Regions from separate parts of the Mus musculus genome. Here all the other regions are reported to be linked to region 3. The links are microRNA targets in miRTarBase. Many come from high-throughput screens and were not tested one by one. Region 3 holds a microRNA gene; each other region holds the end of a gene's coding sequence.

The links. Region 3 holds the annotated microRNA mmu-miR-223-3p (UGUCAGUUUGUCAAAUACCCCA, at 5,447-5,468, shown strand). A microRNA usually pairs through its seed, bases 2 to 8, with sites in the 3' UTR of a target mRNA and lowers its output. Matches are read on the target gene's strand: a 7mer-m8 pairs with bases 2 to 8, a 7mer-A1 pairs with bases 2 to 7 and ends in A, and an 8mer does both.
Region 1: miRTarBase lists Ypel1 as a target of mmu-miR-223-3p. Seed matches in the 3' UTR shown: 7mer-m8 at 6,588-6,594.
Region 2: miRTarBase lists Ddx17 as a target of mmu-miR-223-3p. Seed matches in the 3' UTR shown: 7mer-m8 at 3,079-3,085.

Annotation. Positions count from the first base shown.
Region 1 is chr16:17,082,535-17,092,979 of GRCm38, reverse strand. Ypel1 (yippee like 1) reads right to left here. Exons shown (of 5, transcript NM_023249.6): 5 at 6,244-8,464. The coding sequence ends at 8,378. Ppil2 (peptidylprolyl isomerase (cyclophilin)-like 2) reads left to right here. Exons shown (of 21, transcript NM_001252444.1): 12 at 189-295; 13 at 676-765; 14 at 1,091-1,124; 15 at 1,688-1,805; 16 at 2,822-2,878; 17 at 3,327-3,399; 18 at 3,490-3,552; 19 at 3,699-3,835; 20 at 4,114-4,235; 21 at 5,767-6,425. The coding sequence ends at 4,210. Among named protein-coding and RNA genes, the nearest start is that of Ypel1, 18 kb to the right of the region's middle.
Region 2 is chr15:79,522,422-79,532,866 of GRCm38, reverse strand. It overlaps Ddx17 (DEAD box helicase 17), which reads left to right. Exons shown (of 13, transcript NM_001040187.1): 12 at 953-1,189; 13 at 2,350-5,171. The coding sequence ends at 2,855. It overlaps Kdelr3 (KDEL (Lys-Asp-Glu-Leu) endoplasmic reticulum protein retention receptor 3), which reads right to left. Exons shown (of 5, transcript NM_134090.2): 2 at 9,956-10,056; 3 at 7,905-8,063; 4 at 6,948-7,200; 5 at 5,128-5,795. The coding sequence ends at 5,755. Among named protein-coding and RNA genes, the nearest start is that of Kdelr3, 11 kb to the right of the region's middle.
Region 3 is chrX:96,237,438-96,247,882 of GRCm38, forward strand. It overlaps Mir223 (microRNA 223), which reads left to right and starts at 5,380; the gene lies at 5,380-5,489. F630028O10Rik (RIKEN cDNA F630028O10 gene) reads left to right here and starts at 2,489. Exons shown (of 3, transcript NR_030718.1): 1 at 2,489-2,559; 2 at 2,976-3,076; 3 at 3,601-6,205. Vsig4 (V-set and immunoglobulin domain containing 4) reads right to left here. Exons shown (of 7, transcript NM_177789.5): 7 at 9,764-10,445. The coding sequence ends at 10,285.

The DNA of each region.
Region 1 (10,445 bases), not on the chromosome of region 3:
GACAGAACTCACATTGTAGCAAGTGGGGCTTCCTGCTTACTTCTCATCCGCATCTGCATTGGCTCCTGCATTCTTCTCAGAACTGGGGTGCCCCTGATGGGAGGCTCATTAGTGCTGATCTTGTGTGGCCTGAATGGAGGAGGTATCTCGGGTGCAGGGCAAGTGCAGAGCTCAGGACTTGTTTGCAGCTGTCATTGATGAAGATGTACTGCGCTACCAGTTTGTGAAGAAAAAGGGCTATGTAAGGCTTCACACCAACAAGGGCGACCTTAACTTAGAGCTGCACTGTGACCTGGTGAGTGTGATGGCTGTCACCAGGTGGTTCCTGGGGCCACAGGCTAGTCCTGCCTTAAATGTGGAGCTACGGTTGGTTTACTTATAAGAAGCCTTACCTGACTGCCCCTGAGACTCAAAAGGGCCCTGACTTCCTTCCCTGGAGTCCCTTTAGCAACATACCTCCTTAGCTGCTTGGTAAGTGTATCTATGTGCAAATCCTAGGATAGAGCCCTGACTCTGTTTCCCCATGTGTCATATGGCTGTAGGACTCTGTAGCTTAGCTTAACTCTTAGAAGTCAGACTGAACCAAAGCCTACAGAACTTTCTGCTATGATAAAGGTCTGCATGTCTTATGCCTCTGCTATTAACTATGCCTCATACTGCTGGGATATTTTGTAGACACCAAAAACCTGTGAAAACTTCATCAAGCTCTGCAAGAAACAGTATTATGATGGTACCATCTTTCACAGGTCCATCAGGAACTTTGTGGTGAGTGGTATAGGTTGATGTGGCCATAGATGCTTGATGACATGGGGAACATCCAGGAAACAAACAGGCTCATACCTTCCCGGTTCCAGATACCTCGTTCCAGGCCATGTGTGGCCAGGGTAGGGTCTTCAGGTGTATCTTGTGCCAGGGATCTTATAGCTGGCCCTTCAGTGCTCATCCAGGAAGACCTAGCTGGGGTCAGAGAGGAGGTCCCTGTCCTTATTGCAGCACATGCCTGTGGGAAGCCTGTCCAGTTAGTCGGCAGGGTGTGTGGGGTGATCAGCATCATCAGAGCCAATGGCCTCACTGGGTTTTATTTTTGCAGATCCAGGGCGGTGACCCCACAGGTACAGGCACAGGTAGGTGCTGGTGCCAGCCTTGTTCTGTTGGAATAATAAATGTGATTGTTCTGTGGGGCCTGGTAGGGAGCTGGGTTTTAAGTTCTGGGTATATAATCTTTCAAACTTGGGGGTGGCTGGCCATTCAGTGGCTGGCCTTGTGGCCTACCTTGTGCATGCCCCTTACTTTTTCCACAGTATCAGGGCCTCTTTCCTAATCCTCAGGGTCCTACCATAACAAGACAGGGAGGTGAAGTTCTCAGAAACCACTTGTTCACTCTCAGGAGGTCTGGCCATGCATTCCTGTCATGCAAGAAGGTGCCCCCATTGCTCCTGCAGAGCACAGCAATCTTCCCCAAGCCTCCAACTCCATGGGCCAACTATGACTTGGACCCATGTGTTAGAATGATGCCTTGTAGCTTAAGCCTTCAGCCCTGGCCCACAGGTGAGAAAGCAGTGTCAGCTTGTATAGAAGGCTCTGGCATCTAGAAGTAATCAGGGAGGCTGCCTCAAGGACACGGCTCCCTGATGCTTCTCTACTAGGCTTTGTGGCTGACCACTGACAGTGCTTCTCTCTGTTCTAGGTGGAGAGTCATTCTGGGGCAAGCCTTTCAAAGATGAGTTCCGTCCCAACCTTTCACACACGGGCCGTGGGGTGCTCAGCATGGCCAATTCGGGGCCCAACACCAACAAATCTCAGTTGTGAGTCCATGTCCAGCTCTTTTTACTCAGCTGCTGGGGGTGATATCCAAAGGACCTAAGAGGTCTCCCTAAAAGTTGTGCTCAGCCTAAGTTAAATCCAATCAAAGTAACCTAGATGAAGCCTAGGTCCCTTCAATAAAGGAGCCCAGGTCAGCGGGTTGAATAGCATTCCGAGCTGCAGATAGTACTTAAAGATAGGCACCAAAGTCCTCTCTAGGTAGGTCAGGCAGAAATGGGAGTGTGTGGCACACACCTGTGAGGTGATGGCAACAGTCAGCTCTGGCATCCTTGGTTCCATAGTGAGGTTAAGGGCAGTACAGTCAAATGAGACCAAGTGTACACAGTGTGTGCTTGGTGGCCTCAGAAATGCCCCTGTTTGCTGGGTGAGGCATGCTCATTGCAGCTTGTAGACTCAGCCTTCTGAGCCTCACTAGATGTGGCTATCAGGGGAAGGCTGCTGTCCTGTTGGCCCTGTAGGACTGTCCTCTTGCCGCTCTGGGTAGGGATATCATACTTCCTGCTTTCCTTTTGATTTATTCAGAGAGGTCTTGTAGCTCAGGCTGGGCCGAGCTCAGCCTCCTGCTAGGATTGCAGGTGCTCCCACCTTTGTCTCATGCTGTCCAGCCTTTTGCTCTCCCCTGTTTACAGACTGTAGTCTAGAGCTTCTTCCAGACACCCTGGAAGCCTGACTCAGTCCTCTGCCTCTGGCAGGGCTCATGATGGGCTTGAGTCACTCCATTTCCTTCCTCCAAAGAGTCTAATGACTATGTTCAAGCCACCTGCCTCTCCTGCTTGCCTTCCAAGGGAGGTCTGGCAACCAAACTCCGGCTTTCTCCGGAGAGCCAGAGGTCTGGATTTACCTCTGTAGCCTTAGCAGAGACAGGCAGTGGGCAGCATACACGGGTTCAAGGAAGCTCCAAGCTGGGCAGGGCTTCTATTGAGGAGCAGTCATTACTAGCCTAGAGCACACTATTGGGACAGCCTGCTGCTTCCTCATCTCCCTGTACTTTCCCCAGCTTCATCACATTCCGATCCTGCGCTTACCTGGATAAGAAGCATACCATCTTTGGACGGTAAGAGTAGATGCTGTAAATATTTGGATTGCAGTGTGGGCCTTCACTGCCTTTCCCCAGACATGGCTATTATCCCTCCAACCACCACTGAGGACTGGGTATTTCTATAGGGGAAGGTTGGCTCTCCTGGCCTGTGGGGCCAAGAGGAGGAGACACCCAGGCAGCCATAGTTCATACAAGATCCTGCCTTAGCAAACTGGGGGGAAGAAGTATGGAAACACGGATTGTGGCTCATCCAGGAACACTTTAGTCACCAAACCTGGCTGGGTGTGGTGTGCTGCTCATTTCTGTGTTGTGGTGCATCCTGTCCTGCCTGGTGACTGGACTGACCTTTCTGAGGCTCTGCACTGTCTGCCAGTCCTCTTCATGGCATGTCTCAGCTCTGCCGTGATGCCTCTCTCTGCTCGGGGCACTCTGGTACCCAGTCAACTCTGTCAATCTGCTGCAGGGTTGTTGGGGGCTTTGACACGCTGACAGCCATGGAGAATGTGGAGAGTGACCCTAAAACTGACCGTCCTAAGGTATGTGCCTAGGGAGAACAAAGCACAACTGCCCACTGGGTGCTGTTTGGGGAAGTCTGCTTGCCTGCTCACAGAGCTTTCTGCCACCAGGAGGAAGTGCTCATATGTACAACCACAGTGTTTGTGGACCCCTATGAGGAGGCTGATGCCCAGGTAAGGAAGGTGCCAAGCAAATCATGGCCTTGTTAGGAGCAGGAGGGCACACTGGAGGCTCTGTATCAGCCTTGGCCCTCCCTCCTAGCTGGGGGTGAGAAGAGCCAGCCCTTGGGTTCTTTATCAGACATTTTGCTACCTCCCAGATTGCCCAGGAACGGAAGAAGACACAGCATCAGGTGGATCCAGAGGCCAAGGTCAAGATGAGTCAGCCCCAGCCTGGAAACCAGGGACCCCAGACATACCGCCAGGGGGTGGGCAAGTACATCCACCCTGCGGCCACGTGAGTGTGACTGATGGGCAGCATCTCCCGTAGCCTCATAGTGCTTCATGATTACCAAGCCAGCAAGAGCAGCACAGGCCAGACTGGAGACTAAGACTGAGGGGCTTGATAAGGCCTGGTGCAGGCAAGGATGCCTTACTGGCTGGGCTGTGTGGGAGCAGCACTGTGGAGGGGGGCTTCTGAAGGGAAGGCTATCTGTGGATAGTTTCTCAAGGGACTCGCAAGCATAGGCTCCTGGCTCTTTTGTGGCAACTGCAGTATTTTTCTTCACGTCTCAGGAAACGATCAGCAGAGGAAGAACCATCGACCAGCACTGCCACCCCCACGGCCAAGAAAAGGCCCAGTCGGGGCTTTGGGGACTTCAGCTCCTGGTAGCAGCAGGCTGGCCTCAGGGATCCTGGTAGGGATGCAGGGCTGTGGGCTTCTGGGGCTGTCCCTGAGCTTTCTGCCCTTGCCATCAGTTTGGGCTATGAGCCAATAAACCTGTTGCCTAAGACCTGGGTCCAGTTTGAGCCCCTGGGACTCCTGGCATCCCCACCCTCATCTGGTGCCGTGGTCTCTGCCTCAGGATGGCTGTGTGCACACTCAACACATTTCTTGGCCAGTGCTGCCACCTATGTGTCCTGTTAAAAATGGAGATTTTCAAGGGGCTCCTGTAGTCCCAACATTCAGAATACCAAGACCAACCCTGGCTATATAGGGAGCCGATCTCAGAGAAATTTAGATAAGGAGATTGGAAATGGTCCTCACTCAGACCCTACCTAGTCTGGATCGTGAGGCAGGAGCTTCTACTCCCAGGCTATTGTGATGGGGTCTTATGGTCTTACTTTGACACCACTTCCACAAAGCACTTGTACTCCCTTGCTTGGGACAAGCGTGTTTATTGTCCTGTCTACTCTGTCGCCTACCTTTCTGCATCCGTGATGGTGACCTGCTGAGCCCAGTTAGTATGTGCTCTTATGAGAGCCAAAGGTCCTTACAAAGAGGTGGCTTCCTTCTGACTTCTCCTGACCAGTCACCTACTCATGTTTTGAGACAGTCTGTCTGCATTACCCTTGGCTGTCCTAGAAGTTACTATGTAAGACTAAGTTGGCTTTGAACTCTGAGATTCACCTGCCTCTACCTTCCCAAGTAGGATTAAAGGCAGTCACCACCATGCCTAGCTTTTGACTTTTGATTCTAGGACAGTTGTCAGGGTATCAGCTGAAAAGGCCTCGGGGGGCCCACGTGTCCAAATCACTCACAGCCACCTGCTCGTCACAGTGCTTTGCTCCCTGGGAACCTTTCCACAGCTGATTCTCAAGTGTGGGCAGTGTCGTGTCAGTCACTATGTTCTCTGTCACTAAGCACTGTCCTTAGAGAATGCCACACTACATTGTAACTTAGGCTTGACCTTTTACCCTAAACCTTGAATCCACAAAATCTCCGAAGTTCTTGGTTCTGGGGTGTAGCTAGTACCTGTTTATATTTCTGATGTTAAAACCATAGGCCTTCTGTATTTCTGGGAGTCTGCCTTGCTCTACTGCCCTCCCTCTCCACTTCCAGCTGCTGTTGCATGATCTCAGGGATGACTGCTGTTCACCCATGGCTGTTCTTGACACTTCCCCAGCCCGGTACACTATAGCCACCTGCCTGGGATGGCAATTCACATGCCAGACTGCATTGCCCTTCAGCCTGCCTTCCTATACCCCTCTGTTGACTCCTCTGGCTATAGGCAATGTGGGGCTAGATACAGTGGAGGCAGGAGGATCGTTAAGGCCGCACAGCAAGATCCTGTCCTCTAAAGTAAAAACAAGAAACAAAAGAGGCAGGTTATGAGACCTTGTCTTAAAAAAAGAAAAAGAAAAATTTAAACAGGGCAGAGCAGCAGCAGGGAGCCCTGCATGGACAGAGGCTGCTGGTGCCTAACTGTGTTCTCACACTCTTCTCAGGCCACTCACAAGCTACTACAAGGTGGTGTCAGAAGCATCAGGACCCCAGAAGCCCTCGGTTCTCAGCGGGCTCTGAGACCCTGATCCTTTGCTCCTAGTGGATGCTGCAGGAACGAACGTGGCTCGCCGCCGCCCCCACCTCCACCCCCACCCTGGGAACCTTGCTGTGTGACGACAGGAGCTTTATTTTATACCTCCCACAGACACGCCACAGAGGGCTGACAGCTTTGGCTAGGAGACAGGGAGGCCAAGGCGCTCTGTTTGCTCGAGCTTGCTGGTCCTGCTGTTCTTGGTGAACTCCCTGTGGGTTCCACAGCACTGCAGTCAGCCTTGCTCAGCAGCCGACACCTGTCCCCAGGGCAGGCAGCTGTGTCCTCTCCTGTCCTCCAGCACAGAGGACAGACCACCAGGGCTTGCATTTCCATGGGTCGGTTGTCTATAGCTTAAATGGTAGTGTTTTAGACAGTAAAGACACTTGGATTTTGAAAACTGCCTGATGAGCTCATCAGAAAATAAAGGACTTTTGAGGGGAAAAAAAATCTCATTTCTGATCTCTTCAAATACCTGACAGATGCCATCAAGAATAAGCATTAAGGTATAAAAATACTATGTATACAGTAACAAGACAACAAGGAAATAAACCACATTTCTAAAGCAAAGTGGCGTTCATGACCTGGTATCACCTCCCACTGTTCTGAGGAAACCTCTTTAAAATAGTCACAGAATGGTGCTGTTTACAAATGTAAGGAGGTGAGACATTCAGTGGTTTACCAGCATGCCTGGTTGTGGTCTTGCATCACTTACCCTGAAGCCAGCTCATGGTCAGTTCTTTTGGTTTATATTTCACAGAAGGCCAACGCAAAATCCAAAAAAACCTTGATAAATGGTTTGTTTATATCCATTACTCCCCAATACAGGTAAGTCATATAGAGTACTAGCAAAAACGTTCCAGTCAGAGCTCTCACAAAAGATAATACAGAGTGCTCAGTTGAGGGGCAGATAGCATGCCCAGAGCATAAAGTCTAAATATAATCTTAGTATATACAGAAGACTTCTCCAAGACTCTTCAGCTTTACTGAGGCATCTATAAGGACGTACTCGGGTCTGTCTCCCTTGCCGCCTTCCCACTGGGGAAAGCCGCCCATGCCTCAGCCACCAAGTTCCCACTCTGAAAAGTATTAAAAACTAGCCAGGCGGGCATGTCCAGTTTGAGCAGACTGTTGACCAGTGTTCATTCCTAGATAAGGATGGCCCTGAGCCTTGCCAAGGTCACACGGCTGCTTGTGCTGAGTTTCAGCACTTACCTTACTGGTAGAGTCACTTTGCTTTGCCAGCCTTAGTCTAGAGGGAAACTGGAAGTAGCTGGGGAAAAAGCAGCTTGGGCTAGGACCAGCATTGCGCAGGCATTTCCTGTATTACCAGCCTTCCAATCTTGGGCAAAGAAATGGCACCAAAATGTAGGTTTTGAAGTGAAGAGGAGTAGCGAGTGCCTGTGCTGGCCAGAGGATGTGGGTTTAGCAGGTCTGGGGCTGGAGCCCAAAGGTCTAGATAGAAACTGCTTTTTGACTACCACACCCAGGCAGCTCTAGAGCAGCCGGTGCTAAGCGCTTTCCTGTAATGCTGCCTTTGCAGCTCAAGGGCTCTCAGCCTTCACAGGCCTACTGCCTGCCCTTCTGCCCTGGGGAGGGTACAAAACAATGAAACTTATCTGGGAATGGTTCTGGCCTCCATCCTCTCTGCAAATTGGCCACTCCTTATAGAGTATGATGTGTTGTGACTTAAAATCTGAGAGCCTGGGCTTGGGGGATGGCCCAGATCCTCCCTTGTCAGGTCATGAGGTGATTCCAGGCAGAAAAGGTAGCTCCCATACTAAGCTAACTCTTCCTTTACCTTGGAAAACTCTCATGTTTTGCAGTTTCCCGTACTGGCTCTGGCCTCTGTATGCATAACTATTTCAAGTACATCCAGGGTATAAAGTGAAACCCAGCCTGTTGCTCTGTGGCAGGGACCAGCCCTACATTCTGAGCCGCTGTGCTGCCGCAGCACCAAGGGAGTCAGCTCAGTGGCAGACTTGGGTAGCCCTGGGACAGAGCGTTCAGCCACCAGTAAGTCACTCGCCTTCTACATCAGGAACCTCCCTATTTGCTTAAGATGTACACTGAATGCTTGCTTCCTAGCTTCTCTTCCATGTTACCAGTGGCTGGTTTCAGTTTTTGGAGACATGCTTTACTTCTGGTAACTATGCCTTTGCTTGTGAGGAGACCTTGCTTCTCTGCTTTTAGGGACTTGGGCTTGGTGAGAACACAGCCAGGCATTGCAGGCGTAGGGTAAAAGAAAGTATTCACTAGGCAGGTGAGTCACCAGCTGGTCAATTCTTTCTCTAGAACTTAAGATGTTAGAAAAAGAACTCAGACTTCCAAAAACGCATTGTACACGACAGGGATTCAAATGGGCACCTTACCAAGTGGATAGCCTAGAGAGACACCTTCAAGTGTTGAGACTGGGCTGGCCTGTGAGGTTAAGTTCAAGAAGCATTGTCACCAAGAAGCTAGGTCTTCTGTACACTCAGCTTTCATAAAATAGGATTCAAACAGGAGTGGACCGCTTCACTTTACCAGCCGTTGTCTTTGATCATGTGGGCAAGTTCAATAATAAATTTTCCTTCCTTGTATTTCTGACTGCTCTCAAAGGCATGTTCCTTGAGGGGAAAAGTAGAGAGGTTTCAGGACACATGTTTACTTCCCTGCTTTACTACAGTCATTATCTCTGAGCTGTGCACTGGGCAGTACAGGGGGATGACGACTGGGTCATTACACTCAGGAACAAGGTTAACTCAGTTCTGTTTCTGGGGCTGGGGCTGTAGCTCAGTGTGTACTGTATGGTGTGCCTGTGGCCCTGGGATCCCTTCTCAGCACCACAAACACTTCACTAGGTGATGTATGTGGATGTTTCAGAGTAATACAGGTGGTGGAACACAGGTGAAGTTGTGTGTGTTGTGTGTGCACGCGTGCGCGCACAGGCCAAGAGTTTGAGGTGGTGTTTTGACAGCCCTACATGTTTCTCTTAATGTTTTATTAGTTATTATTCTGGAGGGGCAGCCGTGTGCACATGTGTGGAGGTCAAAGCACAGCCTTTTGGAATCTTCTTTCATTGTGGGTCTGCAGATAGGATGCAGGACATCACACATCAGCAAGTGCTTCCCCTGCTGAGCCAACCCGCTGGCCATTTTATTCCACTTTGTTTTATGTGTATGGGCGTATCCGTGTATGTCTCTTTTGCATATGTCTGTGCATCACGCATGTGCAGTTCTCATGGAGGCCAGAAGACACTGGAACCGTGTGAGCTGCCTACCTGATGTGGGTGCTGGGAATCGAACCTGGGATCTCGGAGCCATCTTTCCATTCCCCTCTCCACTTTATTTTGAGACACAGTTTTTCATTGAGCCTAGGGTTTACTGACTCAGCTAGACTTACTCTGACCCAGTGATCTATTTCTGCTTCCTCACCACTAGGGTTATGAACATACGCTGCCACACTTGGCTCTTTACATGTGTGACAGTGGTCTGGACTCATCCTCTTGCTTGCATAGCAAGCACTTTACTGACTGTGTCATCTTCCCAGCCCACAGCAGACCACTTATGAGAGTTTGACCACGAAGGCTCCCTTAGCGTGCTATAGCATGAAGCCTGTGGAGATGCACCCCAGACACATTTGTCAGGGGATGAGGCCTGGCTGTTAGATACAGGCAAGTCCCCTGGGGTGAAAATGGTGAGCAGCGTGCTGCAGTGACTGCAGGGAGGACAGAAGAGGGACAACATGGCCAATCAGTTGAAGGGCTGGGCTTCCCAGAACCTAATGCTTTGTGGGGTTGTCTGGTCCTTTGCAGTTCATGAGGAGTTTGGAAGACCAGATGGTCACAAATTCAAGGAAAGAAGAGGATGCTACCCTGAACCATGAGAATCCAGAGTTCAAAGGGAGGCTGGGAATATGGCTCAGGAGGTAAAGTGTTGTCCACACAGCACGAGGACTACAGTTGGGTTTCCTAAAACCCACGTAAGAGCAGGTCAGATGCCGCAGCTGCCTGGAATCCGAATCTGGGAAGCAGGCAGGAGATCCCTGAATCAAGATGACTAACTTAAAACAAGCAGCAGTGAGCCCTGGATTTCGGAAGAGACTGCCTTAGCAAATTAAGCAGATATTCAGGAAACACCTGACACCAGCCAGCTTCCAAGTGTGCACATCACAAACACATGCAAAAAGAAAAAGGCACAAAACAGGCCTCTGGCTGTCAGTCGGGATGCACTATCATGAGGGAGCCAAGTGGCTTCCAGTAGATCAGCTGAGGCAGAGGCAGAAATAGAAGGGCTTCCCCAAACACAAGTCCTCAGAACCACAGCGGCTGGAGTGGCTCTCAGGAGACAAGAGTGGGTGGCACACGGTCTAGTCTTTGTAGTAGAGGGGTCCTCAAACTCCAGGACTAGAAATAAGGCAAAGACAAGAGTGGCAAACTTGTCATCTTTGAGATGTCAATCAATTTATGTATGGAGAGAAGCTGGAGACAGGCAGGCCAAGGTCTGAGCACAGAGCTCTGGGAGAGCCCAGGACTGCATTGACCTTTGTGCCTGAAGAGTGTCGTGGTGGACAAGGTGTGCTCTGCCCTGTTCCAAGGAAACAACAGGA
Region 2 (10,445 bases), not on the chromosome of region 3:
ATTAGGATTCTGTTACTAAATTTGCTTGTTAAGTAGGTTAAAAAAAAAAACTACATTTAGCTGAAAGCATTACACTAACATTTGCATACTTGTAAGTTTTAGGGGTTACTCAGCCCAACTCCTAGCCATGTACAGAATATTATATGTGTGTCTCAAGGTTTCATGGTTTTCCCCACAGTCTTTGGCTATTGAATCTTCAGGTCACATAGACAATCTGATTGTTGATACAAGTACTAAGTTTCCAATAACCTTGAGTTGAGTGGAAAAAAACCTCATTTGAGAAGCTGGGCTTGGCAGTAGAGTGAAATTTTAGTGTAATGTGTTCTTGTGATTGAAAAGGGAAAGGTAATCTGGGTGTTTACACAAAGCAAAATAGGTGTGTATTTTGGCTTTGGTTTGCTTTTTAAATACAAGAGCAAGACAGAATCTAACTGTTGAGTCTGAGGATGTAGTGAGTAGATGAAGTGCCTTTCCGTGCTGCTCTGTGACTGGTCTGAAGGTAAGTTGGTTGTATTGTTGGTAGACTGTGCCAGGCTTCTCCCAACAGAGTAAAAGTGATTTGGCCCTGCACTTTAATGGTGGTTACTAAGTTCTTCTACATTCTAGCTTCGAAAGGGGGTGGCACTAGATTTTGTCATTCTGAACTCTGGTCTCAGTGTAGCTCCTGTCAGCATATCATTACAGAAGAGGCAGGAGTTTGGGGTATTGGAGGGAGCTCCCATAGGGTAATCACAAACCAAGATGCAGGGCCTGCCTGTGTCCTGAGTGGCACTGATCCTCTTTTACTCTGTTGGGATGAGTCTTTTTTTTGTACCTACTCAGGGCAGTTACTAACTTCATCTTCTCCCCTCTTGCTGTCATCTGCATTCGTGCTCTCCACCTCTTGGCATGTCTTTACCTTCTCTTTCTCTGCCACATCAACCTACACAATGTCTCCTCATTGACGTGGAAGATGTGGAAGATGTCAAGTTTGTCATCAACTACGATTATCCAAACAGCTCAGAGGATTATGTTCACCGTATTGGCCGAACGGCCCGCAGCACCAACAAGGGCACTGCCTATACTTTCTTTACCCCGGGCAACCTGAAGCAGGCTAGAGAGCTGATCAAAGTATTGGAAGAGGCCAATCAAGCCATCAATCCAAAATTGATGCAGCTTGTGGACCACAGAGGTGGCGGCGGAGGAGGGGGTAAGGGTAAGTCCTGGAATTTTCCAGGTACTGCCAAGGACTTGTAACACTAATTGTGCCATTTTTTTCTGCTGGTTTTTCTTTGTTGGTGAGTTTTTAGTTTTCCTTTTTGTTTGTTTTGTTTGGATGACAAGGCTCTTGTTTGGAGTTGGAAAGAAATTTGTGGCTTTGAATAATCTCATTTTAAGTGAAAAAGTAAGTCTGGTCATTGTGTTACTGTTAGAACCCAGTGTTCTTGTAGTTGAGGATTTAAGACCCATTATTTATTTAAATTTGGGGTTACATGGTACATGTCCAAAATTAAACTAGTAGTACATGCCTGTGAATCTTTTAGTTTGGTTTTTATTCTTTAAGACAGGGTTTCTCTGTGTAGCCCTGGCTGTTCTGGAGCTCACTTTGTAGACCAGGCTGTTCTCAAACTCAGAAATCAACCTAACAAAGCTGTCGCTGTCCAGCCAAGCTTGGGTTTTGTTTTTTCAAGACAGGGTTTTTCTGTATAGCCCTGGCTGTCCTGGAACTCACTTTGTAGACCAGACTGGCCTCGAATTCAGAGATCCGCCCGCCTCTGTCTCCTGAGTGCTGAGATTAAAGGCACGCACCACCACCGCCTGGCGGGTTTGTTTCTTTTATTTATTTGCTTGTTTTATGTATATGAGTATCTACTTGCATGCCAGAAGAGGACATTGGATCCCATTACAGATGGTTGGGAATTGAACTCAGGCCCTCTAGAGTCAGTCAGCTCAGTCAGTGCTTTACTGAGCCATTTCTCCAGCCCCAAGCCTATGTTTCTTAACACATGGAGGTAAAGCTAGGTATGTTATCTTTTTGGGACAGCTTGAGCTTCATAGCTAGACCCTGTCTCTTAAAATTTTAACATAGATAGCTAAACTGTTTTTCCTTCTTGATACCTTTGGAGAATTTGGTAATTTTACCTCATTTCATAGCATAGTATTAACCGAGGCATACAGTTGATCTACAGCTGTGTGGTACACTCAGGTTAAGTTTGGTTTTGTTATCAAGAAGACTCTAAAAGGCACCAAGTTGAGTGAAGTATTAACTTAGAGACTAGCGTTACAGATGAAGAACATGTGTTGAGTATTTCTGTGCCCCTTTATGTTCAGTTTGTTGGGATCACATACTCGGCATTTTCTTCCCACTAGGAGGCCGCTCACGATACCGGACTACTTCTTCAGCCAACAATCCCAATCTGATGTATCAGGACGAGTGTGACCGGAGGCTTCGAGGGGTCAAGGATGGTGGCCGGAGAGATTCTACAAGCTACAGGGATCGTAGTGAAACCGATAGAGCCAGTTATGCTAATGGCAGTGGCTATGGAAGCCCAAATTCTGCCTTTGGGGCACAAGCAGGCCAATACACCTATGCTCAAGGCACCTATGGGGCAGCTGCCTATGGCACCAGTGGCTACACGGCGCAGGAGTATGCTGCTGGCACTTACGGGGCGAGCAGCACTGCCTCAGCAGGGAGGAGCTCTCAGAGCTCCAGCCAGCAGTTTAGTGGGATAGGCCGATCTGGGCAGCAGCCACAGCCACTGATGTCACAGCAGTTTGCACAGCCTCCAGGAGCTACCAATATGATAGGCTACATGGGGCAGACTGCTTACCAGTACCCTCCCCCTCCCCCTCCCCCTCCTCCATCTCGCAAATGAAACTGCATGGCAGGAGTGACTCGTGCAGATGAATTACACATCTAAAGGAACACTGTCTTTTACCCTTCTAGACCTTTTCATTTTTATTTTTTCTTTTCTCAACCATTACGGTTTATCTTTTTTTAATGCAGATAGTTAAAATTTCACTGCCAGGTTTCTTCTGCCCACCCAAAAGATCCAGTCTATAATTACAGATTTTGTAAGAAAAAATATATATACACATAACTGACTGGAAAGAATTAATTTCTTTCCCCCAGCTTAATGCATGTTGAGGATATTGAGCTATTTTTCATCTTAAAGGTATTAGGCACTTTTGTTGGAGCCTGTTTATCCATGGGAGGGTGGGTAGGGAAGGAGGGACTGCTCTGCAGGAAGTGGTATCTGTTCTTTAGACTGCTCTCCTTAGGGAGGAGCCAAGAGGGATTTCCATGCACACTGCCCATGGTGGGTTTAAGTTACTGAAGTTCGATTACTCAGGCCTGATGAATTTTTAAGACTGCTTTGTTGGTCATTTGGCTGATGGCTTCTTATGTGCATTCAACAGTTAAAAATTCCTAATCGATTCTGTCATCATGCCCCCTCCCCACTTGTTCCTGCAGTTATTAAATATTAACCAGGTTAGTGTTGAGTTAGAAATTACATTTCTGAGTTCAAGCGTTGTCTTTTTAAGTTTAAAAAACTATAAAGGGTTGTTTTTACTAGGTAGACTGGCATCTGGGTAGAGGCTGCCTGGGATTTTTATCCCCACATAACCAGGGGCCATCTGAAAGTCATTTTCTAGCCAGATCAGCCACTGAGCGGTAAGCATCAGCGCTCAGCAGAGCCTTCCGAGCAGCATTTAGAAAGCACCTTTGGGAATGATGGACTGCAAGGGAGTGGGCGGATCTTCCTCTTAAACAGTATTCTTAGAGTAGGATTGACCTCATGGGCTGCTCTGCCCACTTGGTCAGGCTCTCCTGAGCAGGACTGCTAAAGAGCTTGCCTCCTCAAAGCCTGGTCTCTGAGGTGCTTTCTAACAGCTGGAGGCACTTGTTCTGGGCTTTCCTTTGCCCTCAGTTTTTCACAGGTAGGTAGTAGCCATGGAGGGCTGAAGCCCAGGCTCTCCTTACTCTCTGGAGTGTGAAGGTAGGGGTGAGCTCGTCTCACCCCTTTATTAAATGCTCCTGGAACTTGGAAGAGCAGCAGATGAAGTTGGAAAGAAAATTCTGCTCTTATCACCTAAACAGGACAGGAGAGCAGATGCCCCAGCGCCTCTAGTAGATGGTAGTGGTGGGGCTAGTGTGTGGCTGTTACCTGGGCCGCTCAAATTCATTCCAGGGAGGAGGCTCCACTGCATTCTTTGGCTGTGCCCTGAGGGTGCCTGCTCCTTTGTACGGTAACAGTCAATTTTGAGGTTTCTTTCAGGAAGAGAAAGGGATGGTTTTGAGGGGCTCAGAAAATAGGATTCAGTGTGTAACATAACAGGTAGGTTGTCAGCATGCTTGGCATTCTTCTGTTTTCCTTACCGTTTTACAGACTATGAAGCTGAGGGGGGATGGTAGGCACAGATGTGTGGCAACCCTGCTCTGTGCTCTGAAACCAAAGTGTGTCCTGTCTTGTCTGTCTCTCACCCTGCCAAAAGCAAGTGTCTAATCACTGATGCTGACCAGCCTGTTACAGATACTTTCTACAACCAAATTCAGATTTATTTTTTATTAAGCATTATACCATGGGCTGTCCTGTGCTCCTGTCACTCTTCAAAAACACCCCTTCTATTACTGCCTCCGGGGATGAAGCAGTAGCTAGGTTGCTTAACCTCCCCTCTCCAGCAGAGGCATAATCCAGATAAGTAGCAGATGTCATATTTCATAAGCTCTTTTGGCCTGGGTACAGCAGAAAACTAGCAGTTTTCCTACTTGGCGCAAGTGACTTGTGCCTCCTTGTCTGTCCTTTGTCAGCACAGGTGCAGGCAAACCCTTCCAGCTGGGTTAATTGCCGTTTATGGTTTACTCACTTAGGGAAAGGGCTTAGGTGTTAGGCTGTGGGCTGCTTCTCCCTAACCATCCATTGTGCAGACTTCTCATCTAAAAAGGTTGGTGGCTTTTGCTTGGGATCAGTGCTCTGCTAACGCCCTTGCTGGTCTCTCCACACATTCCTGTCATTGAGACTTGAATTGTAGGTGTGATGTTATGCACAGGATGCTCAGAGCTATGTTACTACTATTCTTAGTTTGTAAATTGTCCTTTTGATACCATCTTGTTTTCTTTTGTAGGTATAAATAAATACTTGACAATAAAGGTGTGAATTTTTTATTACATTAAAACTTAAAAAGAGTTTAAGTGTACTCTTAATGTTTTCCTCCAAGCAGTGAAAACATTAAGCAGGGTGAGTGTATTAGGCATTCTATTTAGCACCTCAGGCTGGGAGGGGAAGGCTACATTGGTGGTTCTTAGCACAGAATGGATTTACACAGTGGCCATGGTGTCCATCTCAGCTAACAAGTGAGCTAAGCAGTCCTAAGCACTTGGCAGAGCTGGTTATTTGGACTGCTTACAGCTTGCAGGCCAGGTGGACATGTGGCTCGAGTTCAGCACGCTGACCTAGGGAGGTTCTCTGAATGGATCTTCCCAGCCCTGGGCATGAGTTGTATAGTCCTAAGGAAGCAAGGAGTTGAGCCACTCACGGAGGTATCTACTGCTTCTCTTCACTTGGCACTTGTAGGGCACCATCCTTGGGCAGATGGGCTAGGTATCCCATTCTATCCATGGTGGATTAGGGAGGTGCTGCCGTTTATCCCAAGATGGTGCTTTGCTCAAATTCACACCAGTCACTCTAACATGAAGTCCCAAGTCTTGGCTTGAAGTCATGAAGCAGTGATCCGGATGGTTTGCTTTAGCTGCCATAGGGGTGGCCCTTCTCTTCAAACTGGCACCGGGAGGCTTAATTTCTTTCCTTTAAGGACTAAGGAAAAAAAGATAAAATTTTACTATGTGTTGTACTTAAAGAAGAATTCCTGCCCCCCTCCCTCCACTTTAGCTGGCCTTGAACTGGAGATCGCCTGCCTTTGCCTCCCTTGTTACTTGTTGCGGGTCACCCGTGGGGTTTATGCTGTTTCCCCCCACTTTGGTTACTGGTGTTCTTACATCATTTTAGATGAGTATGTCTACTCCATTCCCATAGCCTGTGTCTATCCATCCCAACCCTGTTTTTAAACTGCCCTGATTAGTCTCTGCATGGTGGCTGCTGGGCATGGTGACACAATAACAAACCCCATAACCTAGATCCCTGGGGTTCTGTGTGAACTTAGTTTCCTTGCGTTTCAAGGTCTACTACTGCTAACAGCTGCTTCGGGGCTTTTGGAGATTGAGGTTTTCCCAACCAAGTTTGTCAGAAGTCCTCAGTTTTCCTGTCTGTGCACGTTGCTGATTGCTATTGGTCTGTGCCTCCCCAGATCCAAATAAGCTCCAGAGGGATGAACCTTGGCTCTGCCTCAGACCAGTTGGAGTAAGTCTGGCCCTCAGGGAGTGACACTGTTGGGAGGCCTTGGAGGACTCCTAGTGTTCAAAACTCCCGGACAAACACATGAAACGGCTTTCTCCTGGCAGGAGCACTCCTCCCTCTGGAATCAAAACTTGTAGGCCAATCGAAAACAGGAAGCAAACATTTTCCTAGTGGGTTACTAAATGGAACTACTCCCTTCTCCACCCCTTGATTCCTGGACCCATGGATCCTAGTTATAGGAGAAACTCTACCGTGTATCAGACACTGATTCAAAGCATATGTTGCCTTCAGTAGATACCTGCCCCAGCCTTCAACGCCTGGCTCTACACAGTGCTACATTTCCTCCAACAAGGGCATACCTATTCTATAAAGGACATGCCTAATAGTGTCACTACCTGTGGGCCAAACATTCAAACAGGTATGTTTACGGAGGCTAAACCTATTCAAACTTATACAAGTACCAGACATAAGAGTGCACAGTGACCAGCACTCAGGAGGCAGAGGCAGGCAGATTTCTGAGTTCCAGGACAGCCAGGGCTATACAGAGAAACCCTGTCTTGAAAGAAAGAGAGAGAAAGCAAGCAAGCACCGTGACACAGGACCAGTGCCTACCTTTGGTCACATACAAGTAGAAGAAGTCACAGTAAAAGATGGTTTGAACAACTCCAGACACTACTGAGATCTGGTCATAGAAGTTCTCTGTCTGGTACCGCCTGATCCAGTTGGCCAGATAGAGGAGCCGATAGAGCCCCAGGAAGAACAGGTAGTGAGTGGTGATGGTCTCAGCCTCTCCGGTCTTGCTGATCATGAAGAGCTGTGGCAGGATAGCCACTGACTCCAGATAGATGGAGAAGGTCCAGAGGACCTGTCAGAACAACAATAGAAAGGCTGGAAGTCCTTTGCTTTAGAGGACTCATGTAGTGAACGTTTGCTGAAGAGAATAGTTTGACACACAATCATTTTACAGGGTACCAATGTTGCTTTGAGCAAACTTATCTCCCTAGGAAGGAATAAGACCCCAGAATGTTTTGCCACAATAGGTTTAAGAACTTGTATTTATGGCTTTTTGCTGTTGGGAATAGAAAAAAAGGCCAGAGGGCACTCTGCCCATAGTGTCCCCAGCCCTGAACTTTAGTAGTTAAACCTGTCCATCACTTACAGAAATACAAACTCAGGTATGTAATGCCTGCTTGTTTCACAACAGTGCAAATTTGTCCATGAAACATAGTTTTGACAGACTGCATAGTGTGTAAGTGACATTTAAGATAAGGTGACAAGGAACAGCCAATAAATATCGGCATAGAACCTCCAGAGATGATAGCCTTTCAAAGCTCAGGCCCGCTGCTGACTCAGCCTTGGTACTCTTGGGGACACAAGGTGTCAACTGGAGGAGGGTTACCACCTGTTTAACTTGGAGCCTTTGGGAACTTCAGGACTATGACTAGATGAGCCCCTTCACGGTGGGGTGGAGGTGAGTGCTGTGAACGGTGAGCAAAGGCTCATGGTAGAAATGCCCAGATGGCCGAAAAGGGTGCTGGGAGGCAGTCCTGCCTTGGGACTAAGACCCACCTCCATCGGCGTGTAACTGTAGTTCACCAGAAAGGAAAGGCCAGTCACGGGGACCAGGAGGAACTCCAGCCGGAATGTGTCATTTTCAATGTCAAACGTTTTCCGGAACTTCCAATAGATCATGTACACTGTGACATAGGCACAGAGGAGGAAAACCACCTAGGGAGACACGGACGTCTATGACATCATTTAACACTCGTACTAGACCATATCTGTAATTCTAAGGGCTATCATGCTATTGTCCCCAACAGGCCACCCTGCCTCTGTGTGTGTGCACACGTGTGCATGTGTGAGGAAGTGTGCATGCTTGTGTGCGTGTGTGCGTGTATGCATGATGTTTCTGGGGCCCCTAGAGTCACGAGTTGGAGGTTTGCATTAGAGTCACATGAGTAGCTTCTCTGATGCCATCCCAAGGGTTTTTTTGTTTGTTTGTTTTTGGGGGGTTTTTTGTTGTTTTGTTTTGTTTTGTTTTATTTTTTTGGTAGGTCTGGGCAGCCTTGGAATTTGCTTTTCTAACAACTTCCCAGGCTGTGCCAATACTGTTGGGTGGCACTAAACTACACTGGCACAGAGAGCTCACTCACACTTCACTAGGATGAGAGACGAATGCTGTCACCACACCCTGTAGCATGGTGTCACATGCTCTGTGAAGATCTGTCAGTCTGTCTCTGTCACAAGAGGATTCATGGGCAGGACCCTCCTGTGAGTCCTTACTCAGCACAGATTAGTGACAGAGGGAACACAAGGAGTGACGACCACATTTCTATTCCATTACAGACAACATCTCATCCAGTCACAGCAAGGCTGGGTCTGCAGAGAAATGAACTAAGCAGGTAAATGGGCCAGCCTCCTGTAATTCTAATGGTGATTTTAAGACTCTCCCACCCCCACCCCAGCCAATGGTCTGGAGAGGTGGCTCAGAGGTTAAGAGCACTGACTGGGGGCTGGAGAGATGGATCAGTGGTTAAGAGCACTGAGTGCTGCTCTTCTAGAGGTCCTGAGTTCAATTTCCAGCATCCACATGGTGGCTCACAACCATCTGTAATGGGATCCGATGCCCTCTTCTGGTATGTCTGAAGACAGCGACAGTATATTCACATACATGAAATAAATAGATAATAATAGATTCACACTGTGTACAGCTGCTTCGCAGGAGACAACATCCTCTTACCTCTTCCACTGATGAGCTACCTGGAACCCCAAAGGATGTCTCTGAGACTTTTGATGTGCTGTATCATCTCTTGAAATATTTTTGGGGGGCGGGGCATGAGGGGAGGTTGGTTGAGACTGAATTTCTCTGTGTAGCCTTAGCTGTCCTGGAACTCAATCTGTAGACCAGGTTGGCCTCAAACTCAGAGATCCACCTGCCTCTGCCTCACAGTGCTGGGATTAAAGTAAGATTTTAGGATTTGGCTTAGCCATTCCATGACTAATATACTCATTTGCTTATGATGTTCTGCCCTGAAGGTATAGGATCCATGAGTCTTGAATGTCTCCAAGTGCCGGGCACAGCAGAGCAGGACACACATTGCACAGGTGTATGGCCAATGCAGTTCACTAAATGCCCAGGGTCCAGGAAAAAAACATCTGATTTGTTTATTGTTTAACCATTCTGTGTGATCGTTAATTATTAGGAAATATTCAGTCCATGGTAGGGCGCCAGTGTTTATGTCACTGTGCGTGCGTGCGTGTGTGCATGTGTGTGTGTGTGTCTATGTGTGTGTGTTGTTAGTGGGAGTCTTTTGAGACACCGTGTCACTGTGTAGCCCTGGAACCAGGTTGGCCTTGAACTTGAAGCGATTCTCTTGCCTCTCTGCTTCTCCAGTGCTGAGAAGACATGAGTGTATCATGCATGTTACTTGCCTCACACTTAAACCTGTGACCTTGATGAATCTCCCAGCCACCTCTCTGAGTGAAGTACAAGTACCATGGTGGTCCTGAGCAAAAAGTACAGAGACCCGTTCCTGAAAGGCCGTGGGCAGCAAGGCAGGCGAGCCAGCTCCAGCCCTGGCCTCAACTTGCCAGCACACCAGGGATCCCCATGCGTTTACCTTCATCACTGTGTTGTAGATGGAGATGAAGTTCGAGAAGAGGTCCAGGTACCTGGTGGTAAAGACCAAAGCGAAAAGAATCTGGCTCTTTCCAGAGATGCCTGTGCAGGGTGAACAAGGGAATCATGAGAACATAGCCTTCAGGGTGGCCAGCCAGGAGCGGCTATCCCTGCCCTGCCCTGCCCTGCCCTCAGTCACTGGAGTCCCTGTGCCTCTTGTTGAGCTATGATCTGTCTACAAATAAAGATTCGAACACTATGTTCCCTGTCACCTTGCGTGCGCCACCTTGGTGCGTCTCTGTGGAGGATGCGGAGGTGGTGTGAGTCGCCTGGATGGGGGTGTTGAGGCTGTTCTGTGTGCCACCCCCAGAGCTCCAGTGGCAACCCCAGAACTCCACTGTGGGAGAACTGACTCCAGCTGCTGATTCACCAGGGAGACAAGCAGGCAGAGAGAGTTAGAGATCGGCCAGCAGCGCTCTGTTTTCAAAATG
Region 3 (10,445 bases):
ACAGACTAGCCACTAGAATATTTTAACTGTGGGCATATAAAAGGAATGGGTGGCTGAACTTTCTTTTCTCAGAGTTAGTTGAGAGAACATAGTCCCTGCTTAGAAAACTGCTTGATTGCTTTCCTTCTAATCCAATACTTAGTCAAAAACCCCAAAGAAATGGGAGTCAAATAATTCTTGAACCCAAATCTGGAGACATTAGTCTCAGGGCCTAAACTGATAAATTATTTTGATGGAAGGGAGTTATTTGCAAAACAGTGTTAATGTGAATGGATCCTTATTATAGACTATCCTCAGAATCTTAGGGACTGTAATCACAAGAGAGTACACAATAAGTAAAGAGAATCAGGGATATAGTCATTAATAATGAATGTTGGAGTTGGAGAGGTTAAGCACAATGACTCCAACCTCATCTGTTTAGAGAAAAAAACAGAATTGAGGCTAAGTTCTTACAGCCCCAACTCTTAGGATGGGCTCTTTTTGCTTGAATTCAAATTTACAAAACTTTATATGTCATGAACAGATTATTTACAAAAGCTCGAATATTACCCAAGGCCTTATTGCCACTAGTTTAGGTTGAAGGTTATAATTCAACCTCTGCAAATATTTAAACTTATTTCAAGTAGAACCTGAAAACATCACAGGACCTGCTACCATCTTTTATCCTCCATGTTGTTAGAATCCAAGGTTGAAGGGCCCGAATAAGAATCCATCATCTTTCTGGTTGTGAATGAAGACTTCCCAGGGATTATGAACACGAAGATTTAGCATACAACTACCTCACTCTCTTCCCAAATTCTTTAGTTCCCTTTCTCATCTTGAAGGTCACATTGACTTAAGGATATATAATTATCTTCTATTTTAGTTACCCTTTTTCCTTTTTGTGCAGTTAATAAAATAAATTTAAATCATCCTAACATCTAGAGCAATAATTGAATGAAAATTCTGTCTTCACCATTAGTTCCTGGTGTTGTTTGCTTAGACAAGCAGTTTTAGTTACAGTGTGTGTCAGAGACTTACCAGCATATTCACTACAATGACTTAGAATGTGGTTTGTTCCTCTTGTAGTGTGGTATTCAGAGTGAGAATGCAGAGTCTCTGAGCCTCACAGAAAGGGAACAATACACTATCAACATTTCTTTTTTTTATTAGATATTTTCTTCACTTACATTTCAAATGCTATCCCCTTTCCTAGTTTCCTCTCCAAAATTTCCCTATACCCGCCCCCCACCCCCTGCCCTGCTCCCCAACCCATCCACTCCTACTTCCTAGCCCTGGCATTCCCCTGTACTGGGGCATATAATCTTTGCAAGATCAAAGGCCTCTCCCCATTGATGGCCTACTATGGCCATCTACTGCTACATATGCAACAAGAGACACAAGCTCTTGGGGGGGGGGTACTGGTTAGTTCATATTGTTGTTCCTCCTGTAGGGTTGTAGACCCCTTTAGCTCCTTGGGTATTTTCTCTAGCTCCTTCATTGGGGGCCCTGTGTTCCATCCAATAGATGACTATGAGCATCCACTTCTGTATTTGCCAGGCACTGGCATAGCCTATACCTTCAGATCAAGCTATATACTGGGAGACATTCCAGGTAGTGTTGAGAGGTTTAGCCCTGATGTTGAGAGCTCACTTACTTCCATAGTGGATACATCCTAAATTATATGGTCTTCAAGAAGACCTGGTAGGTGCTGGCTTCTCAAGAGAATTGCCCTTTGTGATGTATTCAGGGATACATTGGGTCCCACCCAGCTGTGACCTGGTATTTACTTCCACAAAGGTGCTGTTACAAAGATAAGGCAAATAGGAACTCCCATTTCTGGAGATAAAAAACCAAAAACTTCTACATTGTCTATTCATTACTCTTTTAAAACTTTTCTATAGGTTGGGATCTAGAATCATGGGAAGAACAGTCATACCCCAAAGAGAACTAGCTTGTTTTTAAAAGGGGGTGAGAGTGAATATATTACATTTAGTTTGTGCTAGGCCTTGACGATTATGTAGCTGATTCTTTATTTCAGGAAAGAAGTAAAAGTGCATGTTAACAAAATAAGATTAACACAGGCTTGGTGGAAATTGTGTGGTATCAAATTTCAGATTTGCCACAAATTTGCTTCCATTTTTACATTTTGACAATAGATTTTCATTAGATAAATAGCTCTGATATTTAAAGATTCCCTCAATTGCTCTAGGGAAACTTCCTTGCTTCATAGGCAGAACACAAAGGAAACTTGTACTTCCTGCTTTCCCACTCTGTAGCATGGGAAGTCAGTGTTTTTGGAGGTTGGTTGAGAATGGGTGGAGACAGAGCAGTAGGGGCTATTGCTGCATTAGCAACTACTCCTTTCACAATAGCTCTGTTTTGTCATTTTGTACCCAGATTTCCGTTGGTTAGCCTCAACTTTATCTTCCTCATTTCTGTTTCCTCTTCATGACACCAAGAGTCCTTCAGAACATGTGACCTTCCTGCTCACAACATAAAACTCAGCTTTCTGTGGCCTCTATAGTTCGGCTCAGCACCTATATCCCATCCAAGACAAAGGCACCACTTCAATGACAGGTATAGTATCTACTTGTTCTCTTAGATTCCCATGCTGAAACAGTGCCCACAACAGCTTTCAGTGTTCTGGATATGCCTAACTGACTCTCAGATCCCAGTTACTGATAAAGGGTCAAAGATAAGACTGATGAAGGTTTCTATTCACTTTCTATCCATGTGATAGAGAGAAGGGACACAAAAATTTCTAACAAATGATGGCTTTTAGAAGATAGTCATGTAGAAGTTAAATGCTTATCAGAGCCAGGAGTTAGGAGTTCTAAATAGCATTTTAAATTTTGTTCTATATCTGTTACTTTTCTTTGGGTGAGTTGTTTCTATAGTCTAGCACTCAGTGTTTGAGTCCCTTTTGCAGAGAAGAGAAAGACAAAGGTGAGATGCTATTTAATGTCTTAGCCTCTATGTCTCTTATTTTGAAGGTTACCAGTCTTTGGTTGGGAAAGAAGATGAGACTGCTGCTTGAATGTACACCTCTAGGCAGAGCTGAACATCCTTTAGAAAACTGCTGGTGGTCTGAAAGGTATGACTAAAACATGAAAGGTTCTTTTTTTTCTAGTTTTGTAAGTCACTACTCCAATTTCAGAATTTAAAAGGCACATAGACGTGAGGACAAATATATATGTGAGGAACAGAGGTCCTGAGAGAAGAAAAGGTAGTTTCCCAAGGCCACACAGAAAACCTGTACTACAACTCAGTCTAAGCCCAGGACAGTGTCCTTTTTCTTCTGCTTTAGGAGGACTGAGATACCAAGAAATAATGGGTATCCTGCAACTGAGGCAGGTGACTCTCCTTATATTGAAAAAAATCTGGATATTAAGACATGGTCCTGAGTACTTCTTTATCACCAAATATATTTTCTGATATGTGGCTTATTCTGGACATTTATAGATTTTTGGTAAAATCTTATACCTCTTTTACCAAGCTTATGCCTTTCAATTTGCGTCATGAAGACTGACTATGTAGTCATCTATGTCTTCATTCTTATGGGTCTGACTAACTTTAATCAACTAAACTTGCTTCTCTTATATGTATTCCTCTGAATAGGTGTGAACTGGAACATCAAGAATGAAAATGAAATAGTCCCTTACCCAGCTTAAGGACTGACTTCTCCATCAATCCTGGAAAACAGTATTTATAATAATCTATTAAGTCAGTGCACTAGAACTCTTTAGCCCCTTTCATGGCTCTTTTCCAGTGTTCTTGGGTTATGTGAGGTCGGATAGGGCAATTGAGAGGCTATGGATATCTCTAAAGTGTCTAGCTCTCCTTACAGCAGATGATAAGCAGAGATGCTGTCAAGAAAACCAAAACCAATAACCCATTACTCCTTTCTCTTTTAATCACTTTCCTTGGCTTTTACTAGCTCCAGAGTTGGAAATAAGGTCTCTTTAAGCTCCCTTCTAAAAAGCTCTAGAAGTCTCATCCAACATTTTTCAAGACCTTGAGATGTAAGATTTCTGTCTCTATTTCTAGAGAAGACAATTGATGCCCAAGAAAACTTTAAACCTGGGTAGGACAAAATTTGATACTATCAAGCATTTTGAATAACAGGATCATGATGCTAAACAAAATATCAAATAAATTGAGATGGCTTGGCTCTTCTGGCAGCTGCCCTGGTAGCTATGAGTTCAAACATCTTAATACTTCCCTGCAAAATCCACTGCCTGTTTTGCTCTTTGTTGCTGTTGCTCTCCCTTTTGCAAGGGAATATAAAAAGCAGACAAGAAAAAGTGGTGGGGTGGACAGCCAAGGGACACAATGAGCTGATGGATGATATAATTCCCAAACTGTAAACAACTTGTTTTATGACCTTTTGGAAGTCTTTCCCTAAACATCAGACTTCATTTTCTCATTTATAATCTTGAATGGGTAAAACTAGATGACTTATAAGGGCATTTTAATATCATTAATTCTTTACTGCTTATGAGAAAAGGCAACCAAGTTAGACAAAGCCGGCTAAGGCCACAAGAAATTACTGTTTCAATTCTGTTAAATAAATTATCTATCTTTTCCCCTGTTAGTATCTATCTTATATGTTTAATTTTAAAGCACATTTTAGTCACTTTTATTTATGTACAGGGGATCAAATACAGAGTATTGTACAAGTTAGGTAAGTGTTCTGCTACTGAGTTTTATCTCTAGATCTTGATTGTTTACTTTTTTGTTTGAGAAAGGGTAGTATTATATAGCCCAAATTGACTTTAAATCTGAGGTTCTCCTATCTCTGTCTATGAAAGCTTGTATGCACACATGTACTATCATACCTGGCTATAGCCACAATTTTTGAGTATTTGTTAGGTAACAAACACTAAATTAATGGCTTTATATGCATTATTACATATTCTTGCCATGATTTCATGGGCATTTTTGTGGCTATGGAAGAAGTAGGTTTCAGGGACATAAACTCATTTATTTAAGGTGTTCAGCTAGTTAATGGTAGAGGTAGAATTCAAATCCAGTTTTAAAAATCAACATCTAGGTACATAACCAGGGTAAACAGAGCATACAAGAAGTTGATAGGAGGAAGGAACACATAAATTGTCCCCGAGGACAGAATGATGACAATTTTTTCCTGTTTCAGCTGAATAGAAGAGTTAATTGAGGCTTGGGCCACCAGAATCTCCAGACAAACACCCAGGATCCCCGTTTTTGTTTGGAGCATTAGCGTGTTTTGTTCACTTCCCTCTTTTGGTGTGTCTTAGTCAGTCATGTTAGTGTCTGCCATTTGTCTCACACTTAGGGTAAGATATAATCACCCTATTTTTTTCTCTTTCCAGTTGCACATCTTCCAGCATGTTCTTGCTGCCCAGTGGAGGTTCCTGATCTGGCCATCTGCAGTGTCACGCTCCGTGTATTTGACAAGCTGAGTTGGACACTCTGTGTGGTAGAGTGTCAGTTTGTCAAATACCCCAAGTGTGGCTCATGCCTATCAGCTCCAGGTCCAGGACAGAGCACATAGCCTGCTGCCTACATATGAATGCTTATGAAACATGAAGCTCTCTGGTGTTATTCTATGTCTTTAAGGGAACTATAACATTTATTCAGAGAACATCAGAGTAGGAACGATGCAGCTCTGGGGTCTACAAGTCTGGTATGCATCTGTGTACATTGTGAAAATGCCATGGACTGCATAGTGGTACATGAGGGATACAGGGAATGAGAGTATTATTTGATTTATTATTAATGTCTTCTTTCACTTTCCTCTTCTTGCAGCCAGAATAGCAGAATTTTCATACAAGCATCATGAATTCTATGAGAAAGTAGGAAATAAATATCCACTGTCTGGCCTTCGGAGCACATCTTAAGCTACCTACATTTTCTCTTTTCCACTTTGCTTTTATCATTCTTAAAAGAACCTTCTTGTTTATCTTCATTGGGCTTTCAGACACTACCAAATTCCAATTCCTCTTGGCACTATTGAAAGTTAACCTATACTTTTCTTTACTCCTTGGCTAACCACATACTGGTATGTGCTATTATATGTCCTACCATCCAACACATCTTCTAAAGTTGTCAGTGAATTTTTCCAGGGTATGTTCTTGAATTCCCTATTATATTGTAAGAATCTAGAGCTTATTATATTCAGTTGATTGCTGTCTCTCATACCATTGTCCAACATTTTAATTATTAATAAATATTTACCAATTAATTGATGTTTTACTAGTCAATAACCTTTTGCTATATAGGTCAAATACCAACCAGGGTTTTGCGAAAAAAATAAATCAAACTGTGGGTATTCTAATGCTATAGTGTATACAAGATGGTAACCAAAATGGATTTTTTTTTCCTCTGAGAAATAAGATTTAGGTCTGGGGCAGGAGGGCAAGAAGAAAGAATAGACTCAGAGGGAAAAATTTTTTGAATTATTGGTTTACACGTGTCTTTTTAAACAGAATTTTCTGAGCCTTTAATATTCTATCATTGCACTGGGGTGAACTTCTAATATAGAACTATAAAATGAAGCATCTCCAATCCCTCTCTCCAGAGTCTAACATTTCATAACATATATTTTGGCAAGCTTCTTTAGAGAAATTCCATACTCTCCCTTGGTTCTGGAGAAATTCCATACTCTCCCTTGGTTCTGGAGATACCTACTTTCATTCTTTAACTTTTCACCCACTAACCAGTGACCTAAATAACAAGACCCATATTGTTACCCCAATTTTGCTCAGAATTGTCGGAGGGATGCATCTCTATCTAGGGATGACTTACTGGCTTACCCTGCATGGAAAAATACCATTGTTTAGGGACAAAGACCATCTTCAGAAGATGTCTGCAGCAAAGTACACACACTGCTAAAAATCCACAGGTCTAACCTCCAGTCTTTGTTCTGCCATTGACTTGATGTATGTTACTTTTGACAAACCTTCATTTCTCTCTGGGCTTCACTTCCCAATTTGTGGTATGTGAATGTTCAGATAAGTAATCTGTAAACATTTTCACATGCAAGAATAGGAGACATTCCTGGTGGTTCCAGTGTTGGGGGTTCCCTGAATTTGTGGCTCACTTTACTAGGGCAATTTCAATAAACATTCTCTCTTCAAGCCCAGGGATTAATTCTAAAGAGCAGAATGAGATAAAGGGTGTTTTCAAGGCTTTCAGGGCTGGACTCACAGATGTTTCATGAAGGAAGCTGAGGTTTCTACTGGGTGGTACCCAGGTTGTGGAGGCTGGTAAGTGAGATGGAGAAGAAGAAGTCATCTCTGACACTAATTATGCATAGCTAGCATTTGTCAAAGAAGAAAATGCTGAGATTTTGGTCATAGACTTGGCAGCATCAGTGGGGGTAAAATAGGGCAGACTGTCAATCACTTTTGTGTACTATTTTGACTTTTGCAGTCATTTCAAAGTGGGAGTACCTCTTGTTGAAACCTGATCTGATCCTGTGCATATGCAGACTACATAGGCAACATGGTAGTTCCCATGAAAATTTAGGAAGTTGATTCGACATGAAATAAATGGGGGGAAAGGAAGCAATGCAAACGTGGCCCCAAACAATTTCTTTACAAGGGAGTTTCATTCCAAAGTACATAGAGTTCCTTCTTTCCTTTCCCCTACCCTCCTGTTCCCTACACTTTTCTTCATTCCCCCCACCCCGTTCCATCAATTAAGAAATAATCTCTTACTCTTCCCATTTATATGCATAAAGCTTTAAAAAACATTGAAACCCATCTTACCACTTTCTCAAATAAACCAACCTATATTAATAAAATTTTAAAAAAGTCTCTTCACATTATAAAAAGAATTGAGGAGAAAAGATGACCAATGCAACTAGTCCAGATATTTTAGTGATATTATACACAGACTTTGAAAAGACAGAAACTACTTTATTTGTACATTCATAGTACGTTGATAAAGATGTGAGGCTTCTTGACAATCTTCCTGTTGCCCCGAGAAGAGTCACAAAGTAGAGAAGATAGAAAGATGGACTGGGTAGTGGATGTTATGTAGAATACTATTTAAGCAAAAATTGATTTGCTTTAGATAGGGCTATCCATATTATGAGAAGGGAGGTGGCATGAGTTGGAAGGTGAAAGACAAACCAAGAAACAAACAGACAACAAAAACCAAAGCTTGGATTAGAGTTACAGGCCTATCATTCCAATTACTTGGGAGACTAAGGCAGGTGGCAAGTTCAAAGCCTACCTAATTTAGAGAGTGAAATAAAGGCAAGCCTGGCTAGGTTAGTATGATATCATCAAGATAAGAAGTAAATAGTATAGCGAGATATAAGGTACAATATGTAAAACATATGAAACTGAAGAAGAACAAAGACCAAAGTGTGGACACTTTGCTCCTTCTTAGAATTGGAAACAATCACCCATGGAAGGAGTTACAGAGACAAAGTTTGGAGCTGAGACAAAAGGATGGTCCATCTAGAGACTGCCATATCGAGGGATCCATCCCATAATTAGCCTCCAAGCGATGACACCATTGCATACACTAGCAAGCCTTTGTTGCAAGGACGGTGATATAGCTGTCCCTTGTGAGACTAGGCCGGGGCCTAGCAAACACAGAAGAGGATGCTCACAGTCAACTATTGGATGGATCACAGGGTCCCCAATGGAGGAGCTAGAGAAAGTATCCAAGGAGCTAAAGAGATCTGGAGGAACAACATTATGAACTAACCAGTACCCCAGAGCTCTTGACTCTAGCTGCATATGTATCAAAAGGTGACCTAGTCGGCCATCACTGGAAAGAGAGGCCCATTGGTCAGGCAAACGTTATATGCCCCAGTACAGGGGAATGCCAGGGCCAAAAAATGGGAATGGGTGGGTAGGGGAGTGTGGTGTGGGGCTTTTGGGATAGCATTGGAAATGTAATTGAAGAAAATACGTAATAAAAAAAAAGAAAAAAAAAGAAAAAAAGTACCACAAAAAAAAAGATAAGAAGTAAAAATAGTACAATATTTTAGTTCAGTGGGAAAATTGTTGGTTAACCCTGGGTTAAATTTTCTGTAAAATGAAGTGGATGCTCACAGTCATCTATAAGATGGAACATAGGGAAAGTGAGGCCCATTGGACACGCAAACTTTATATGCCCCAGTACAGGGGAACGCCAGGGCCAAAAAGGGGGAGTGGGTGGGTAGGGGAGTGGGGGTGGGTGGGTATGGGGGACTTTTGGTATAGCATTGGAAATGTAAATGAGCTAAATACCTAATAAAAATGGAAAAAAAAAGATGGAACATAGGGTCCCCAATGGAGAAGCTAGAGAAAGCACCCAAGGAGCTGAAGGGGTCTGCAACCCTATAGGTGGAACAACAATATACACAACAACAATAGCTACATGTGTAGCAGAGGATGGCCTAGTTGGATGAGAGGCCCCTTGGTCTTGCAAGCTTTATATGCCCCAGTACAGGGGAATGCCAGGGCCAAGAAGTGGGCGTGGGTGGGTAGGGGAGCAGGGCGGAGGGAGGGTATAGGGAACTTTCAGGATAGCATTTGAAATGTATATAAAGAAAATATCTAATAAAAATAAAAAAATTCCTGTAACACACACACACACACACACACACACACACACAGAGAGAGAGAGAGAGAGAGAGAGAGAGAGAGAGAGAGAGAGAGAGAGAGCACAGCAAAGTGCGTGATCTATATTCCTAGGGGTCCTTAGCATTTTAGTCTCATTTTAATAATTTCGGATAGGTCTCATTTTAATAATTTCGGATAGGTCCTATTGTATTGAGAGAAGACCAACACAACTGAAGTTGATGTCATGATTAAACATTTATTAACAACAAAAGAATACATGTGCATTAGATTCATAATGTAGCAATAGTAATATCAATTAAAAGTCATCTGGCCCTAGAGAAAGAGGAGTAATCCTAGACCCATGTGCTTGTCTGAGTTTGTAGGACTGAGACTCACGCTGTCTGGAGGCATGATAAAGAACCTCTACTGCTATGGAATTTCTCTGCTGTTTGGAGAAGAGTTGTGAAGGCCCTAGGAAGAAAATTGTTCTGGGTGAAGCCCAGAAGCTAGATTTCTTGAGGTGCATGTAGTATATTCTTAGCCAAACCCAGGATTTCTCAATGGCCCCAGAATTGGCAGACTAGATAGATACTTTAGGTTGTCTAAGAAGAAAGGAAGCCAGGGAGAAAGCTATGTTGAAGGCAAGTAGTAAATAAGTAACAGGTAATTACGCCAGTAGACCTTGACTTAGTAGGGGCATTTTAGCAGATGTTATTTTCTTCAGTAGCAAGAACTTCTTAGTTTCTGGAAACTGTGTTCAGCAGGCAGGAATAGACATTGTTGATCTGATGGTTATTTGGTACTCCTGGCTGAGGCAAGGATCATCAGAGTAGTCACTAATCAGAGCCTGGGAATCTGGTTCATCAGTTGCGATGGTAGTCACCCTTGTGGTTTCTTCAGAGTTGCTTGTCTTCCTGG